Danio rerio: one gene and its partner. The protein of the gene in region 1 interacts with the protein of each later gene in a pairwise test. Links are inferred from orthologs where the notes say so. Each region holds a gene or a part of one and is shown on either strand. Other genes may lie near its edges.

Evidence for each region.
Region 2: the proteins of exosc10 (region 1) and mphosph6 interact in binary tests that used the Homo sapiens proteins (3 or more experiments, as listed by UniProt). The link is inferred for Danio rerio from reciprocal best matches to the Homo sapiens genes EXOSC10 and MPHOSPH6.

The regions. Positions count from the first base shown.
Region 1 is NC_133198.1:16,320,185-16,323,752, reverse strand, and holds part of exosc10 (exosome complex component 10), read right to left. Parts: intron 1,647-3,568; coding exon 1,538-1,646; intron 1,433-1,537; coding exon 1,357-1,432; intron 1-1,356. UniProt on the Homo sapiens protein: Catalytic component of the RNA exosome complex which has 3'->5' exoribonuclease activity and participates in a multitude of cellular RNA processing and degradation events.
Region 2 is NC_133200.1:38,541,752-38,546,097, reverse strand, and holds the start of mphosph6 (M-phase phosphoprotein 6), read left to right. Parts: upstream 1-1,505; 5' UTR 1,506-1,598; coding exon 1,599-1,649; intron 1,650-2,278; coding exon 2,279-2,391; exon of another isoform or gene 2,392-3,629; intron 3,630-4,346. Other genes in the region: snx20 (sorting nexin-20), read left to right, coding at 1-102. UniProt on the Homo sapiens protein: RNA-binding protein that associates with the RNA exosome complex. Involved in the 3'-processing of the 7S pre-RNA to the mature 5.8S rRNA and play a role in recruiting the RNA exosome complex to pre-rRNA; this function may include C1D.

The DNA.
Region 1 (3,568 bases):
GGCTTTTACAGAGTTAGCTTAGCAAAGTCTACAGCAAACAAAGTTTGGGGATTACAAAAAATACTTCTGGTTTAATGAGATCTTAAACCCTTTAGGTTACACACACCCCGTGCAGTGAAGGGGCATGGCCAGAGGTGTTGTAATGTTATAGCGGAGAAAGCTAAAATGCTGTCCAAACACTGTTATTTCCGCAAAGCTTGTTCTGTTTCTGTGTTTAGGCTTCTAAATGACATGACACAAAGAGAGAAGTGCTTACAGTTTAATTTTAATCATGTTCCAGAGAATCATAAAAAATATATAGCTAGCATTTGACAAAGGACAGCTTCAAGAATCTCTCCCAGTTCAGTGATGGATTCGGCTTAAAACTCCTTAAAGAAACAGCTCCAGCCATAATAGCAAAAGCTATGGACTGAGCCAAAACCTGTGTTTTTATTTGTTAAAATTAATCTATTACATGCACAGTTTCTAGCGTAAACAGTACAATGTAGCAATAACATAAACAAGGATGTAAACTACGGAAAATGCTGATTGGCACTACTAACAATTTAGCTACAAATTCATATTTATCCATCAAACCGCTGTAAACACCCACAAACTTCAGCTGCGCTGCAGGGTCTCTCTATGCGGCCGCTTTCCGTGCATACTACATCTCACGAGATATGTGAACATTTCATATTACTTAAACATTCACATAATCTGAATATATATATGAAAGACAGTTTTCAGGTTTTATTTTGGAGCAGGGATGGGGTTCAGCTGTATCCTCCTGTCTGATATGGCTTACAGCTACACTGACTGACAGCATTTACACAGCACATTATGTAAGATGACCAATCAGAGCCTCTTGTGGAGAAACTATTAATATGATAGTCGTTTTCATGTTAGCAGAGTAGCAGTATATATTTTAAGTAAGATACACGAAAAAAAATTATGTGATTATCTACAAAGGAAACATGAGCACACATTGCTTTGCATCTTATGAACACAACCAAGGCTTAAATTACACTCTGGACCACTCCTTTAAGACATAATATGCCAAAATTAAGTGAACTGTTCCTTATAACAAGCAAAATAATCTGCCTATATGGGTAGCAGAAAAAAATATTATTTCAAAGCAAAAACAAAATGATTTAGCTTACGCCATTGGTGGATTCATTTGCCTGGTTTTAAGGAAAACTCACTTGATTTTGGCATAATATTTCTTAAAAATGATATAATATATGTTCTGTTTGTCTAGAAAATGCTTCTTAATTTTAAGACTTTTTAGATATTTGGACTAAAAATAGACAAAAACAGTTTTTTGCAGTGTTAAAAGAACATAAATGTCAGGGGAGAAAAGCTGAATAAGGCTTTGACCTGGACTTCAGGTTTACACTTCAGATTCTCTGGCATGACCAGATGGTCCAATTCATACTGATATGGGTGGGAAAACCTGGAAAACAGCATTACAACTAATTTATTACAAAGAAGAACAAAATTAGCACTGATGCAAGGTAAGTAACAGAGGCATTGAATAAATCCCTTAAACGCATCTTACATGTCGTCCACGTGCTCTTTTGTCCTCTGCTGATGAATAAAATCTGCCAGAGCAGCAGGGACATCTAGATCCTCCGGCCTCTCCTTGCGAATGTGCTTGTCGGCAAAATCTGGTCACACATTTGGTTAGAGTTTAGTGTTTGCTTTATTATTTTTAATATACATTACTTTTTATTTTTATAGTTTTCCCTAGGGGTGTGCGATATTTATCATCCAAAACAACATTGCAATGGTTGTTTAAAGAATGTGTAAGCTTACATTAGCTAGGTTTCCATCCAAATAAATTTGCTAATAAAACACTATTTCAATTGAGTGAGACAGAGTGAAATGCATTTTTTTCTATAAAATAAATTAATTGTGCCTCAAGACAAAGACAAAACATAATGAACTAATAATACCAATAGACTTAGATGACAGACTTTGGCTGAGGGATTTTAGAATGACCAAAACAACATTTTAGATGATTTAAAATGTGGTCAAATCTGCTGGTTTATCATCACACTTATTTAAATATAATTAAAATAACTTTAAAGATAAATTTATTTTGTAAATGCATTTCCGTCTTTTTAAAGACTTAAAAAATGTATCCTACCAATATACCAAAATGAGCATAAAACAGGTGGATGAAAGAGAGTATTTACTGCCTTTTAAAAAAAATATTAAAAACAAATCTTGAGAGATCAAAATTACTGAATGAGTGATGTTTAAGCAAGTAAGCCGGGGCGCCGCTGACCAGTACGGGCCCTATGACAACATTCTGGTGGGCACTGTAGTGTACGAAAGTGAATAGCAGGTGGTGGGGGTAATAGAGGGAGTAGGGGTTGTAATAGTAACTCTGGGAGCCCCAAAACAGCTAACTTTTCCCCCCTAGCGGCACCCATGAAACTGTATTCAAAAATGAAATATTGATTTTTTTTTTTTTTTTAAACAATTGAACAAACAACCAAGTTAACATTAAGTTACCATTTTCTTTAGTGAATAAATAGTAACTAAAGAGATAGAGAAGAGCATTTGTTCATCTCAGAAAACACTTCTGTTTTGTTTATGAATTAATCAATTTTTTAACAAATAAGAGCTTGATTAGCTTGTCTAGGTGTGTCTAATGGGCTATATGCACTCAGACTTTTAATTTTCAGCCAGGCAGCCCAAGGGCTTCTAGTGAACTGTCTTTCCTTTAATAAATTGTCACATCTAAGATCTGATTTCTTTAAAAATCAGCAATCTTCACTGCCTGTTAAAAATGCGATATGAAATGGGTCTCAGATTGGACAAGAGGCACTGCATTAAAGGGTCACGAAACAACAAAACATTTTTTTGAGCTGTTGACAGTCGTATATGTGTCCCACACTACTAAAAACACTATTAGGACAAATATTTCACTAAAAAGTGAAAATAGGTTGTTTTAGCGTTATTTCGAGCAAATTCGTTCTTCCAGTTTGAAACCAATTTTTGAAGCCGTGTCACGGCTATGAGATTTTAGCGTGTATTCCAGCGTGTAGACTGGACGTCTGTACCTGAGAGTGCCTTATTACGTCTCGGAGTGTGCTGCATTCATTCATGAGTAAGACTTGGTTTAAACCAATCAGCGCGCTCTATTGTGTATGCGGTGCAACCTCAGTAATATGCATGGTAGCTTTGAAGACTGTTTGTACCTGTACAGTGTTCAGACGGCAGAGAGACGCCACGTTGTGTTGCCAAGTGGGAGAACAAGAAATGTTTGGATACGAGTCATCAGTATTGTGTTTATAATTTGCTGCAGTGAAGGTTTTGTTTTTATTTTCCCTCTATGAGAGCGCAGCTGGACTCACGTGTGGATTACAGTGCACACAAAGCGCAACAGAAATACGCGTCTAAGGAACATTGTTTACAGTGTGAACAGTGTTTAAAGACAGACCTTAGTCAAATGATTTCTAAGTTAATAAAGTTTACCGTACGCTAATATCACTACAATACTATGGACTGAAAAATCTGCTGTAAATGCTGCTCTCCGAGTGTAAACATGTAAGAACCACAATCAAACTTACAGTCGTGT
Region 2 (4,346 bases), on another chromosome or scaffold:
GTGGCTCAGCTACAGGACGAGCTGATCAGAGTTAATGACTCTCCATGTGGGAAAGAGACACAGATGTCTCTTAAAGAACTGGTGGTGCAAGAGTTTGTATGATTTTTTTGTGTGACTAAAATGATTATGAGGCGAGTTTCACTGCATTTATTTAATTATTTTGTTGTCAAAATGTACACAAATCTAAATTCTTTAATAACTTACCTCGAGAACCATTGATTTCTTGAATTTATGTAAAGGAAACACTGAAAGAAACACCAAGAAACTTGACTTTACCTTCAATCATTGACTTTTCGGCTTAGTCCTTTTATTAATCAGGGGTCACCACAGCTGAATGAACCGCCAACTTATCAAGCATATATTTTACGCAGTGGATGCCCTTCCAGCTGCAACCCAACACTGGAAAACATTCATACACACTCTTTCACACTTATACACTGCAGCCAATTTAGCTTACCCAATTCCCCAATTCCTGCATGTTTGGAGTGTGGGGTAAACCGGAGCACCCACAGGAAACACACGCCAACACGGGGAGAACATGCAAACTCCACACAGAAACGCCAACTGACCCGGGACTCGAACCAACGACCTTCTTGCTGTGAGGCTACCCAATCATCATATGCTGAGATTCAAATGAACCTTGAAATATTGTTTGATTGTACTCAACTGAGTGTTAGCTAAAACGTTAAATAAAAGTGGTAATTATGACGCTTGAATATACAGTATACACCATATAATTACCACATTTGTATTTCAAGCTAATTAAATTGCACTGCAAAGTGTTTTAAAGCACACAGTTGAATTTAAAAACGTGAAATAAATATAAAACAGTGCTTTAGTTCAGCTAAAGTAATACAAATGTGCTTAAAGGGGCCTTAAAATATATAATATTATAATATATATTAAATTATTTTAGAACAAACATATATTAACCCAATATTTGACTATAATGTGGTGAAAATAACTGTTAGTTACGCTATTACACGACAATAAATATGAATAAAACAACTTAATGCTATAACTAATGTCTGTATTTACAAAAATCCTCAGTAAGAAAATAAATAGCAACTTTTAAGTCGTTTACAGTTGTTATTTGCCAGTAATGAACTGTAACAAGCGAAGTTTGTACACAGTAAAGTAAAAACTCACCTCAGTAATGACTCCTTTCAGTGATTGAAGACGAACTGGCGTGTTTAATTAGGTAAATTTAACCATACAGGAAAGGGTTAATGCGCCACTTCAGACGAAAGCAATAAATTGTCGATACATTCGACAAAATTGTATATAGCAAATCAAATTAAAGTAAACGATACCATATAATACAGACTAACATTAACTTAAACGCTTTATTATGCGATTATACTTCAAACATAAGTAATAAATCTGAAATTATTGTCAGTGGATGTGTGTTGTGCGACTCGTCGAGTCTTGCACATGTTGCTAGAGCGCATGCGCAGAGTTCATGCGGACTGCTATTTATTTTAGCAGCTCGTGCTACGCACAGTAATGCTGCCAGTGTGGAAGACATAACTGTCAGAAAAGCTCGCTTTATCTCTCTTCATTCACTTAAAAACGTGTAGTGTTAGTTCTGATTTGAAATGGCGAACGATGGTGGAGCGAAGCTGTCTAAAAACCTCCTGCGGATGAAGGTAAATAATGTTAGCCGACTCTCCCAGTGTCGGAGGAATATGATGAGCTCGTGATTGGGATCGTACTAAAATGTCCTCGTGTTTGAGGTCGGTTTTGTTTTGATATGAACTGAATGCTGTAGATCACTCGCTGCAGAACACGTGACTGATAGACAACAGTCTGTCTCTGTGTGTGTCTGTTCATCTGTGTCTCTGTCCATTATTTTATCCGCCATATTGTATATCCCATTCGTTCTGTCCATTTTTTTCATCCCTCTGTCTTTATACTTGTCTGTCTTACCATCTGCCTTGTTGTCTTACTTTTCATGTTTGTTTACCTCGTCCTTTGGTCTTTCAATAAATCTCTATTTCCATCTTATTTTTTTTATCTGTCTCTCTTTCTGTCCATCTTTTCTTCCATCTGTCTTGTCATTTGGTCTGTTCTTGTCTTTCTGTCTGCCCATCATTTTTATCTACCTCCATGTGTCATTTTATGTCAACGTCTTTCTTCTGTTTATCTGTCTGTCTATCTTTTAATCTGTTTTTCATCTGTCTGATAATCTGTTTTTGTCTGCGTCCATCTGCTTGTCATTTGGTGTCTGCATCTTTTTTCCATCTGTCTGTCCATCTTCTCATCTGTCTGTCTGTAGTTCATGCAGAGAGGATTGGATGCGGAGGTGAAGAAGCAGCTGGATGAGGAGGAGAAGCGGATCATCAGTGATGAACACTGGTTTCTGGATCTGCCCGAGCTCAAGGCCAAAGAGTGAGACTTCAACAACTGTTTTTTTTACTCTTATCACGGTGCTTGTACACCCAATGAATGAAATAGTGTATGACAACAAATATCTGTGGAAACCCATTTCTGGTGCATAAAAAAGCCTCAATCAAAAACATCAAACCAATACCTAATTATACTAATACTCAATTAAAGGGGCAGTTCACACTGAAATTAAAATTGTCATCATTTACTGCACTTTGATTTATTCCAAATCAAAACAATTTATATTTCTTTCAGCACAAAATAAGATATTTAGAATAAAGCTGAAAACCTGTAACCAGGAAAAACAAATACTATGAAAGTCAATAGTTACCAGTTTGCAACACGCTTTAAAACATTTTCTTTAGTGCAGTTAAAAATTATTTAATCCCAAAGGTTTAGAATATTGACCAAAAGCAAGCAAACAAATAAATAAAATTCAGACATTTCCAATATGTTATATCTAGATCAATGGATCCAAAACCACCAGTAGGTGGCGACAAATACCTGACTGATTCAATAGTGTTTCTTCCCATACTGATAAACTTCCGGTGAACAGTTAATGTGACTTATTTCTAAGGGTGTCACGATCCTAAAGATTCTAAAGGCACGATTCGATTTTCGATTATGAATGATTAATTAATGACCAATTAATTATTTGTAGCCTACCGTTTAAACTACCTGACCTGCATGGTCTTTGTTTTACCCATAAACAAATCATACAGTAAATGAATAAAGGCAAGATGCACACATAATTACCTCCTGTCAATCACTTTTTCTGCGGGACTCGTGAATAGGCAGTGATCTGTGTCATTATAATGGCGTCTGTAAAAAAGACGCACAACCAACAGGAACCAGCCAACAGTGTCTGAGGTGTTCGCTAAAATGACAAAGTACAAGTGAGTGAAAGATTGAAGCAGTCCTCTGACTGCCTGGACCTGCTGTCTCGAGCGCATGGCTGTGTGTGCATCTGTGTCTGTGTGGTCACGTGATGTGCGTTTTCAGAGGTAATGAGGAAGGAGGGCTGCTCAGAAATGCTACACGCCACTGTGGATGTCAAATCGTTGTTGTTCTAAAATGCCATTTAAAAACAAAGACAGTGTAAACAGGGCCTGAGTGTGAACTTTTCGCGAGCGGATTTGCAACGGGGGCGGGCGGAGGATCGCGATGCTGGTGTTGTCTATCGGACGAACCATACGTAATACGTATATAGCAGAGCTTGCAAAACTGTGTTTTTTTTTTTTGTCGACAACACGAACGTTGTCAACATAACTCACTGGAAATCCAAAATGCTTAAACACCGGCGACTTCATTGAAAGAGGAGAGGGTTTAAGCTCTGTCGACGGGTCTCCTGCTTCTGCAGTTTAACAAGCACTTCAACAAGCCTGTTTTTTTCCCGCTTGGCAAGCCAAGCTGACGTGACATCGGGGCGTGGCAGCATCGACGATTCTATTTTGTAATTCGATAATCGAAATTGAGCATAAATTTCGATCGATTTCGATTAAGAATCGAAATCGTGACACCCCTACTTATTTCCATTCCTTTTACAGCATCTATGTTGTACTGCAAATAAAATACAATCAGTTAAATAGACCCAAGCATTTATTTAGTTGATCAAGCGCAAAACGAGATCAAAAGTTGTTTACTCGCACACGTCAGAATCAGCAGGCTAGCGCAGAAGCTCCATTTAACATACTGGGGTAAAATAAATGCTCATATTATAAAGACACGACGGGGGAAATGTAAATTAATGTAGTGTTTCTTGTACAATCTGAGACCCGCTTATATCGTATATCAATTAGGCATTGAAGATGGTTGATTTTTAAAGAAAACAGGCCTTTTTGTAACTGCATACAGTAGGACTGTGCGATAAATCGAATCACAATTTGAAATGTTGCGATTAGCTTATCACAAGAGGCTGCGATATGACATAGATTTGTATTTAATTTCCCACGCCCCGA